Tribolium castaneum: one gene and its partners. The protein of the gene in region 1 purifies or fractionates together with the protein of each later gene. This does not show direct contact. Links are inferred from orthologs where the notes say so. Each region holds a gene or a part of one and is shown on either strand. Other genes may lie near its edges. The genes, in order: transcriptional adapter 2-alpha, Atac2 and Sgf29.

Region 1 (3,754 bases):
ATGTTGTTTTCAAAACGGCGCTGATGTTTTTTTGCAATAAGTGTTTGTGTCCACATTGGCGCTGGATGCTCCTAACATCAACAAATGAAGAAATCGTATCTAATATCCACTTCAGGGCAAAACACATGCAAAATTATTATTTGGTTTTGCTTTTGTGAGTATTTTTGACTTATGGTGATCAGGCCTTTCAAAAGGTGTTATCATTCAAAAAATTTTTGACGAGATTTGTAGATTGCAAACTCTTTTTGACTTATTTTTTAACATTCCATGTTTATCACTTTTGTGCCGCAGTAAATAAGTAAATACGGCACTACCTAAATCCAAATCAAACTACAACCCCTACACTCATATAACGTATTATTTATTTACAACTCAAATATTTTTACTTTTTTCCTCCCACTCTAGCCACCCCCCGGAATAATTCTTTATATCTTTGAACCCCAACTTCGTCGCAATCTCGGACGCAAGGGCACTACGTTTCCCCGAACGACACGAAAAAATTAAGGGGGTGCTAGAATCAGGTTTAGCCTTTTTGTAAGTTTTTTGAAATTGTTCAGAAGGCATGTCTTTTAACACTTTCTCGACTTCGCCAAGTGGAATATTGATGCTGTCAGGAATAACTCCGGTTTCCTGCAATTCGTGGGGCTCCCTGACATCGATTAGAAGAGTCTTAGGAGTCGTTTTTACTGACTTGACTTCATCAAATGAGGCGATTTGCGTTGCGAAAAGTCTAAGAAAGACGGGCGTTTTGTTCACAAGGGAGAGGATTTGGGGCCCCCTTGATAGCGACATTGGTAACCTAACCTAAAAAATAATTATGTAATTAACTTAATTGATTAGTTTTTGTAAAGTGAACTACCATAGCGCCAATAAAGCGATTTTTACTATTTTTTATCGCCTGTTTTATTAAATTACGACAGTTTTGGCAAAAATCAGTTTGGAGACTTTTTACAGTCACCGTTGGTATCACACAATTCACACAAAACAAATTAGAGGTCCCGTGGCTACAATCAAATTTTCCCCAATTATTTTTTTTTTCACGTTTTATGCCGATTGCGTTCGAATTACATAATAATTTCATAAATAATCGTCAAAAAACACCGCACTAGTAAAGTGCTAGTGCTTTAAATTTTGCCAGGTAGGCAGCGCTTGCCGCTCACATAACCTATGCACATAACCTAAGTTTTTGTGGTATCCAAACAGTTTTCGAAAAAATGGCAAACGCAAACACCGACTTAACCGAAGAAGACGCCGCTGACTTGCAGTTTCCCAAAGGTGAGCCCCCTTGTTTACTTCTCGTTCTCAACTGAGGTTTCAGACTGTGGCCCCCCTGCGTTTTACTCTAGTGACTCTGATAGTGTTTGTTCGAATTGTTCGTGCGATTTGGTCGCGCCTTACATTTATTGCGCTTTGTGTAAAGTGAATATTTGTTCGCTGTGTTTTTCGAAAGGTGCGGAGTTTGGGGGGCACAAGAACGATCACGATTATCACATAATCCGCGACGATTTTCCGGTTTGGGGTAACACGGACTGGACGGCTCGGGAGGAGGTGGTGTTGTTAGAGTCGTTACAAAAATACGGGAACTGGAATTTAGTGGCGAAAGAGTTCCCAAATCGGAGTGTGAGGGAGATTAGGGCGCACTACGATTGGTTTTATTTAGACAGAAAGGGGTCCAAAGACTTGCCCGAGGCGAGCAAAAGGGACTGGTTTTGTGAGCCGGTGGTGCCCTACAGACAGCGGATTAGCGACACCGATGAGCCCCCTCGCTACTCCCCCAACACAGTGGGGTACAAGTCTTTGGCCGGTTATAACCCCGCGAGGTCCGATTTCGAATGCGAGTTCGATTCGTCGGCTGAGGATCTGCTCTCGAACCTTAAACCGGTTGATAAGGACGATCCTCATTTTGACTTGATCACAAATCTTCAATGTGCGATCATTCAGAGTTATAACCGGCGGTTGAGGGAGCGCCAAAGGTGGAAAAAAATCATAAGAGAACACGGATTGATTATTCTGCGGAAAGTTTACGCTTGGCTTCATCGGTATGACGTTACGATTACACGTCCTGTGTATGAAAAACTGATCCGATTTATGCAATTTTGTACTCCTGTCCAGTTCGAAATGTTGATGGAGGGGTTACACCACAGCGGCGAACTCAAAATACAAATTCTTAGGTTCATATCAAACGGTTGAATTAATATAAAGTTGGTTATTTTCCATAATAGCGGCTTATTGAGTTCCAAAAAAACACGACGGAGAAAAAAATGTTCACTAAAGATTAATAAAAACAAAGAAAAATGTTAAAACATACTTCAACAGTTAGTGGCGTGACGAAAAATAATACAATTTGTATTTTGGAAAAAAAAACACTTGTAAAATTCGATGAAAAATTCTCAAACTCTTCAATATTCACGGAATTTTACAAAACATTGTGTTCAACTCGTAAGTTTTTTCCAGAAAGAATTCACTTTTTCTATCTCGTTGCACAAATAGCTATTTACAATGGAACCGTTTTGGTTTAAAAAAATCTCGCGAAAAAAGTTATATCACTCGCTAAATGCAGAATTAACATTTTTTTCAAACAAATCGGCGCTTCAACACTCGAAAAAGCAAATATAATGCTAATTTCGTTCTAATCGCAATTTTTTTGGCTTCTTTTTGAGCAAATGTTGCGAAATAAATGTGTTTTTATGGATGAACGTGGTAATAAATCTCATAAATAGTAAAATATTGTCATCTTCGAGCAGATTTTTTAAGCAAGTTTAGCAAAATTTCAGTAAAAATTGCGTTTTACCTTAAAAAAACGAGCTTTAAAATATGATAGTTAAGAATATAATTACATATATATTTAATTATTTTATTTATTTATATAATATATAATTGTTATTATTATTTATATTTTATTATATTAAATATAATTAAAAATATAATATAATAATAACAATTTGGTGATTACGTTTTTTGAAGAAATGCTAAACTTTCGAAAAAGGCAGAGTAATTAAATTAAATTTCTCGTTCAAAAAAGGAACTTAATTGAGCAAAGTAAACTAAAATAACCCCAATTTAGATTTAATTCTGTGAATTTCTAGCTAGAGAATTTTTAAACACTTTAATTTTTACCTTAAAACATGTATAAAGGCTCACAAAAAGCTGCAACATAGCATTAATTTTGGTCTTTAAAAATCTTCGGCTTGCAAAAGCAAAAGTTTTGACTTAATTTTGTGATTTTTTTGAGTAACATCTTTTTTTGATTGATTGACAAAACTCCTCATTTTTTGGCCAAGAAAAACGATCGACTTTTGTGTTATCTCCTCCTGGTTTATGCTTTTATGTCATTTTTAAACACAATTTAAAAAAAAATGCTAAAACACGTGAAATTGCAAAGTAATGTTTTTTGGCGAAATATCACAAAATAAGAATTTTCTAATTATGTTGTAATATTTTAGACGTGTTTTGGCAAGATTATCCAAACTAAATAAGTAGTAAATTTACCAATCCAAAGTAAACAACAACAATTTCGATTTAATTTGTGGATTTTCAGTTAGTTTTTGCAATTTTTTTTATTTTAAAACATGCCCAAAGATACGAAAACGACAACATTAACACAATTTTTGGTGTAATTGTAAGGTTAATAAAAATATATGAAAGAGAATTTTTAGCTAAAAACGAACTAAAAGGCTTTGAAGAATTTTTGACAGACAAAATTCTTCAAATAGCTGTAGCCTGACGAACAAGAAAAACGTTTGACTTAGTTTTG
Region 2 (3,754 bases), on another chromosome or scaffold:
GCATTTATTCGATTTTTGGCGCAATTATCATAAAAATTGTATAACAAGGCCTCCAAACCCAAAATGTGGTGACCTTAGCCACCACCCGCCATTTTTTCAAATTGTCACAATCACAAGTTCACGGTTAGGTTTATTTTTTTGCGGACAAAATGGATTTAAAAACACTACTGCGGGAAAAAATAACGAAAAGTGGAGGTAAAAATTAATTCATTTAGTTAAAATTTCGACTGGTAATTTTGCCAGGTGCGAAAAAGTCGCCCCCCGAGTTGGAGCAACAAGAAGACGAGTACTTCCAACACTACATGAAGCAATATTGTGACAAACCACCGAACGAAACCACGGGCATTCCGCGTTTTTACAATAAATTACCGAAAGAAGATGAGCCCCTAAGGCAAAAACTGCGCGAGGAGAGCCGCTCCAATTTACTGAAACGTAAAAGTCAAAACTTGTTGGATAACAACGAATTGAAGGAACTGTGGGTGATTTTGGACCAGAACCAGAGCTACCCCGAGGAACAGTTGATAACGTACTCCGATTATCAGAAGGTGGTCACGCTGGTGGGGCCCAAAGTCAAGCCCTACTTCACTTCGGTCGTGTTTGCGAAGCTCCAACAGGGTGACCCCCAGGGCAGAGTCTCGATCATGTCGCTTTTTAACTACGTGATGCGTAAAGTGTGGCTACAGCAGACCAGGATCGGGTTATCGCTGTATGATAGTACGGGACAGGGTTACTTGACTGAAATCGACTTGGAGAATTATATCACTGAGTTGTTGCCAACTTTGCCGCAACTTGAGGGACTGGAAAAGTCGTTTTATAGTTTTTACGTGTGTACGGCCGTTCGGAAATTTCTGTTTTTCCTCGATGGAGTGCGTGCGGGTCGTGTGCGGATTTTAGACATTTTAGCTTGTTCGTTCCTTGATGATTTACTCGAATTGAGGGACGAGGAGTTGAGTAAAGAGGTGCAGGAACAAAATTGGTTTAGTGCCCCTTCAACGTTACGTATTTACGGACATTATCTAAATCTTGACCGTGATCACAACGGAATGTTGAATAAATCTGAACTTGCGGGTTATGGCTCTGGGACTTTAACGCAGCCCTTTCTAGACCGCGTTTTTCAAACGCTTTTGACTTATTCCGGTGAAATGGACTACAAAACTTATCTAGATCTAGTACTAGCTTTGGAAAATCGTGCCGAACCACAAGCTCTTGCTTTTTTGTTCCGCATCTTAGACATAAATAATCAAGGCTACTTGGACTCTTTCACTTTAAATTATTTTTTCCGAGCGATTCAGGAGCAGATGAGGGCCCATGGGGCCGAAGCTGTGTCCTTTGAGGACGTTAAAGACGAACTGTTTGACATGGTCAGGCCTAAAGATCCGGAAAAAATCACCCTGAATGATTTAATCGCCTGTGGGCAAGGGGACACTTTTGTCAGTATTTTAATCGAGTTTCACCGCTTTTGGGCCTACGAGAATCGAGAGGCCGTCACGGCGGAGCCCTCCCAAGACTGATGTTACAATAAATGCAATTTTACATAATTTTCGTCCATTTTTTTCAAAAACCCGCCATTATGGACGTCAATCACGTGACAATAATCTCGAAGTGAGGTTGTGTTTACAATCCAAAAATGAGCGAAACTTGCAAAATCTGTAAATATTGCACAAATAAATTGGAAGATTGTCTCGACGAAGGCCTAACGTGCAGTTCATGTTCGCAAAGTGTTCATTTGCGGTGTCTCAAAAGTGGTTGTGTGCCTGGGGGGCTTCACGGCGATATTTTTTTCACATTCACTTGTGAGGAATGTTCGGAGGCCGGGTCCGAGTCGTTTGTTAGGGAGAAAATGTCTTGGTAATTAGAAATGTAGTAGGTATTTAGGGCGTTCCGTGGACGAGTTCTTTTAGGTTAAAAGTATTAGTTTTGGCTTTGTATCATTTGCAGTCACGAAGTCCGGGTTTGGGGCGCAAGGGGTACTTCCATTGGAGGAACCACATAGCGTCACTAATCGACAAAAACTGGGAGAGTCTGTTTTTGAAGGATTTGTAAGTTCCAACATTTGATTATCACATATTTGTAATTGTTGGTTTTTGTAGTAAAAAGAAAAAAAAATGGGTTGGGACCGTTGCTGGGACTTTATCGCACTTCAGTACGTATTTTTTCAAGTCGGGGACTTCGGTCGTTAATGAACCGGCTTGGTGGGCCCTCACCTACCCCAAACTCACCCCTAACGTAATTTCAAATTTATGTAATTGAGTGAAATAATAATTAAAAAATCAGGAGTGAAAGTATAATTCCAGATGCTGCTCTCACGAACGAGAAGCAAAAAACGAAAATTTTAAAAATATCAGTCTCAGACACTGAATTATTCACACAAATTTTACACAAAAACATCAAAGACGATGATTTGCTAACGCCTTTATTCACTGTCGATGTTCCCAACTTTTCGGAAAAAAATCCAGACGATGAAACCAATAAAAAGGTACAATTTGTTACGTTTTGAACTTACAAATCATCCATTGTTTGTAGATTACTAAAAACTTTACCGTAAATAAAAGAAAAAGTCTTTTACCAACATTTGAGAGCACGTCCAAAAAGTAAGTTTTTCTGTTCAAAGTCACAACATAACAATGCAATTCTAGACTCTTAAAAATGAATAAAAACTCGCCGGTTTTTTCAAACTTAGGTGATGAATTAACGCCAACTTATCTCAAACAAAACGAGCGAAATTTGGGCGAAGCTCAGCCACGTAATAAGCCCCCAAGTGAGCAAAATAAGGAGTCTGTGAAATTGCTCGACCCGTTTTGTCACTACAACACTTGCTTTAGCAGTAAGTCAAGTGAGAGGTGTGCAGGACTAAAGCTAGGAGGCAAGACGAGATTTTTGTAAATATTGTAAAGATTCTGATTTATTGAAAAAGTTGAGAAATTAAGTTAAGTTAAGAAAGGTCATAATTGAATAAAAAAATCTGCCCAAGTACCAATTCCAAAAGGTTATTTTGCGCTTAAAATTTGCTCGATTTTTCGTCATGCCACCAAATATTTTGGTCCCCCATAGTCCCAGGGCTTAAGAATTTACTCCAAAAATAATTTTAGACGCGTTTAGGCAGAAAGGAAGCGAAATGAGAGTCAGGTTGATGGGTGGTATCAGAAAAGAACTAATTCTCTCACCTTACAGCAGCATTTATTTAAAACCTTACATACGAAGAGATACAGAAACTTATCCATCCTGGCTACGCCTAATGGCCGAGATACAAATGAAAGCAAACGAAAAAACACAAAATTACGTTCTACCTCCAAGGGCCCCTATTGACTACACCTACGTCCAACCTGAGCACATACCTGCCATTAACAGTCTCTGCAACAACTTTTTTTGGCCAGGAATCGATCGTAAGTGTCCGAAATGTTACAACACAATTTAATTTTTTGTTGCAGTAACTGAAAGTTTGCAATATCCGGATTTTAGTTGCGTAGTTTTGTACAAAAAATTAATAGTGGCGTTTGCGTTCCTCGTCCCCAATGTTAAATACACCGAAAATTACGTCTCTTTTATTTTTACACGGCCAGGATGGCGAAACGTCGGGATTGGAAAGTTCATGTTGTATCACTTAATCCAAGTAATTGAAAAGTCGATTTTTATTAAACTAGTTGGTTAATTAATTATTTCAGACAAGTCTCGGCAAAGATATCACACTACACGTGTCCATCAACAACCCGGCCTTGTTTTTGTACCAAAAGTTCGGTTTTAAGGTGGAAGCAGT
Region 3 (3,722 bases), on another chromosome or scaffold:
AAGAAATAATACAATACTTTAATTTTTTGAAAAATTTAATTTGTTATGTTACTCAAGTGTACAATAAAAATGTTAACAAAATCTGTGTTTTATTACCCCAAAACAACTTTTTTTGTAAGTTTCATTTCAAATTTTGTTTAAAATAAATATAAAACGTTTTCATTTTGTTTAAAATGAAAATATATTTTTTTATTTTAAACAATTTGCAATGAAACTTGTAAGATAAAAATAATAAAAAACAATATAAAAGGAATTTATTCAAACGTGGCACTTTACCGTGGTAGTAACGCACTTCAGCACCAGAGGCGCTGGATTCTCGTGTTGCCAGTGATTTACTAGGGAATTATCACTTCTTAACCCTTTCTGTTCTGTGCTACCTGTCAATTCCTAAAACGTCTACAAACATCACGCTCTGCACAAGCGCGGCGCTAAATTTAAATAACACGATATTTTTTAATGAAATAAATTTTCAGATAGACCCAAATCGTTTTGAAACCAGAATTTTCCTGAAATATTTAAATTAAAAACCTCTATATCATTAGTTAGTTACATAATTAATAAGCAAATAATTTTTTTCATTTTAATCTAAAGACGCAAGTACTAATTAAATTCACAATCACAACCTCGTAGCAAGTTTACAAACACGTATTTAATTAAATAAATAAAAAATAGTTGCAATTTTTTAAATAGCGCCTCAAGGCCGTCGTAGTTCCAATGTGACAACACAGAGATAAGTAATCCTAACACAACATTATCTTATATAGAAAAAAAGGGAAACTTAGTGATATTATCGTTGCAATGTTAAAAACATTATCAAGCATTTTATTCCACAATTATTACTAATTAGTGAATTTTTTGTAGGTTTAATTGAATATATGTATTAGGTCGTGTGTTTCAAAAAGTAGTCTATTTGCACGGCTAACGTCAAGCACAGGCAAACAAAAATAAGTGTATTTTAAATTACGTGCATGTTATTTTGATAAAAAATTACCATTTCCATAATTAGTAGTTTATTGTAAAGTACAATACATAAAAGTTACCCCCGCAGTGCGACTTGTGCCCTTTTCCCTGGCAGTGCATCAAACAGTCAAATCAATGTTTTTTGATTTAATTGAAATAAACATTTCCACTAGAACCGTGTGTAGAATAGTCAGTGATTACTAAAGTGTATACTTTTGCTCTATTTTGGGCGTTTCAGGTACTCGTCACTTTAGTGTTGCTTTGCTGGTACCACGTTGTGCTTGTAGACAGGCACTTCAGGAACCCATATTTCTGCGGTGAATTTTAATTGCACTATTAAAATGCCCTTTAGTGCAGACGCAATCGCAGCGCAAAAAGTTCAGGAGCACTTGAAGTCGCTCTATCACACGGTTCATGAGATTGAGAAGAAACGCCAACAGAGTGAACAAGGAATAAACAACATTGTTAAGTTTCAAAATGGGCAAGACGAGAAGTCCAGCCAACATTATCAGGTGTGGATTTTCTGGCATTCGCAAAATATTTTGAGGCATTTTCCGAAAAAATAACAGTAATTTGGGGCCAACATTTTTATGTGTGTATCAGTGTGATTTGTTTTCTTCTTTGTGTCAACGACATTTGGTCCCTTTACCTCGGTCTTGTTCTCAGCGGCAATCGTTACCTAATAATTATGCTACAAATAAAAGTACTGATTTCACTGCAACTTACAGTTAAAATTGTTAAAACGTAAATAATTACAATGGCTTTTAAGATCTTTGATGACATTTTTCTGATCTTTGGCGGCTTACGGTGCCCTGGAAACGCTAAATTAAAAAAAATCGCCTTTGAACCACCTTTTAAAGCTCAATTGTGTTTCAAGTAAATATTTTTGTTTACGTGAATTTAAAGAATTCCATTGTTTCGATTCAATAAGAGTTTATATGATTACTGTAATGATTATATATTGTAGATGAAGCTAAAGAGCCTCTACAAGTCCTCAATTTCGCACGCCGAGCAAGAGGAGGATTTGCTCCGTCAAGCTCTTCAAAAAATTGCGGAAATCCGCAACATTAAGAACGAACGGAGAATTCAAACGAGACATGCTGGAAACAAAGAATCGATTCGTAGGGGCACTTGGATGAAGATGTTAATGAGTTCGGCACAAACATTGCCCCTTTTCGTCGGTAAAATAGACGAAAAACCTCCTGCTCTCTGTGGTGCCACACCTGCTGACTCTGGCTATGTGGCAAAAGTGGGCGATATGGTGGCTGCTTTGGTTAAAATTCCTGATGGAGATGGCGAAAACTGGATATTGGCTGAAGTGTACAGTTATAATCACGCCTCAAATAAGTACGAAGTTGATGATATTTTGGCGGAGCAGAATCAGAAACGGCGACATACTTTGAGCAAGAGAAATGTGGTACCGTTACCCCTAATGCGGGCTAATCCCGAGACTGATCCAACGGCCTTGTTTCCACAAGGAACTGTCGGTAAGTGGAGTTACAACGAACTTCCTCCTGTTTCAAGCACCGATTATGGCAAAACTCTTCGGAAAATTGAAACTATTTTAAAGTTGTCTTTGTAAAATGCTCTGGGAAATCGCTTGGCGTCAAGAAAATGACCAGATTCTTAATAATTTTTAAGATATATTTTTTACACTGTTTGCGATTTTTTTTAAAACTGTTAATCGCAGAACAATGGTCTTTTTTGTAAAAAGAAACAGATTATTAAGAGCTATCCAACGATTATACACTTATTAGGGTTTCGGCTAGTATTTCTGGAATTATTGCCCGATGAATGTCACAAACGTGTTGAAACATTCGGTGGTATGTTAGCACAAAAAAAATCTATGTAAATTTTTTACATTTTTATAATTATTTTATGGGATGTCTCGTGGTTTTTTTGTGTCTGTTTTTGCTAATAATTTTTACTCAGTGTAGTAGATTCCTCAGAGATCATATTTGTTTAAAATTTTTATTAGTAAAGTTTAAAATTGCTCGCCAAATTTAAATTTATTCGCCATCGCCGACGAAAATTCAGAAACCACAAATATTCGGATAATGCAAGTTGAGTTCTTTTGAGCTCTACTCACATTCCTTAAAATATTTGCACAACTATCAAATTATTACTTTTTCGCAAAGGATTAATGTTTTTTTACAATTCTTTCTTATTTCGTCTTATTTGACAAATGATATAAAGCAAAAATAACAGCTAAAAAGACACTCTTTGTTAATTTATCTCTTCTAATGACCTCGGATATAACGAACGGATTTTGACACATTTTCTGAGTTCGTTATAACCGGACACCACGTAAATTAAAATGTTGGTTTTGCGTTTCAGTTATGGCTCTATACCCAACTACGAGTTGCTTCTATAAAGGCATTGTGAACAAGCCTCCCGCAACACATACTGATGAATATGAGATTTTGTTTGAAGACGCTGCGTATCCTGAAGGCTACAGCCCGCCCCTGTATGTGGCCCAACGCTACGTCATTGCCATAAAACAGAAGACAAAGCAAGCCTGACATTATCTTTCAGACACTATGTCTGATTCTGAAGCTTCAAGTTTTATGGAATAATTTATTGGGTAGTAAACATTCGAGAAACTTTCATTTTGTGTTATATTTCACCAATTTATTATTCATCTTTACATGTACATGAATTTTTTTTACATTTTTGTTATTTTCTAATCTAACTTTTAAAAAAATGGAACTCCTGAAAAAAACAGGCTGAAGGTACCTGTAATGTTGCAACATTAAAAATTA

What was found.
Region 2: the proteins of transcriptional adapter 2-alpha (region 1) and Atac2 purify together in Drosophila melanogaster (affinity purification with mass spectrometry; 3 studies listed by BioGRID, with this or other methods). This does not show direct contact. The link is inferred for Tribolium castaneum from reciprocal best matches to the Drosophila melanogaster genes Ada2a and Atac2.
Region 3: the proteins of transcriptional adapter 2-alpha (region 1) and Sgf29 purify together in Drosophila melanogaster (affinity purification with mass spectrometry, with the first as the bait; 3 studies listed by BioGRID). This does not show direct contact. The link is inferred for Tribolium castaneum from reciprocal best matches to the Drosophila melanogaster genes Ada2a and Sgf29.

Annotation. Positions count from the first base shown.
Region 1 is NC_087398.1:11,844,701-11,848,454, reverse strand, and holds the start of transcriptional adapter 2-alpha, read left to right. Parts: upstream 1-1,133; 5' UTR 1,134-1,214; coding exon 1,215-1,275; intron 1,276-1,318; coding exon 1,319-2,171; intron 2,172-3,754. Other genes in the region: rhodanese domain-containing protein CG4456, read right to left, coding at 373-804, 860-862. UniProt on the Drosophila melanogaster protein: Component of the histone acetyltransferase (HAT) complex ATAC; predominantly involved in acetylation of histone H4, including at Lys-6 (H4K5ac) and Lys-13 (H4K12ac).
Region 2 is NC_087396.1:22,635,439-22,639,192, forward strand, and holds the start of Atac2 (cysteine-rich protein 2-binding protein), read left to right. Parts: upstream 1-1,558; 5' UTR 1,559-1,627; coding exon 1,628-1,848; intron 1,849-1,901; coding exon 1,902-2,039; intron 2,040-2,090; coding exon 2,091-2,242; intron 2,243-2,294; coding exon 2,295-2,476; intron 2,477-2,523; coding exon 2,524-2,591; intron 2,592-2,636; coding exon 2,637-2,824; intron 2,825-3,089; coding exon 3,090-3,383; exon of another isoform or gene 3,384-3,428; coding exon 3,429-3,610; exon of another isoform or gene 3,611-3,662; coding exon 3,663-3,754. Other genes in the region: serine/threonine-protein phosphatase 2A regulatory subunit B'' subunit gamma, read left to right, coding at 150-195, 244-1,511.
Region 3 is NC_087396.1:14,033,198-14,036,919, reverse strand, and holds Sgf29 (SAGA-associated factor 29), read left to right. Parts: upstream 1-871; 5' UTR 872-1,149; intron 1,150-1,198; 5' UTR 1,199-1,301; coding exon 1,302-1,472; intron 1,473-1,927; coding exon 1,928-2,447; intron 2,448-3,297; coding exon 3,298-3,482; 3' UTR 3,483-3,569; downstream 3,570-3,722. UniProt on the Drosophila melanogaster protein: Component of both the SAGA and CHAT histone acetyltransferase complexes, which both predominantly acetylate histone H3.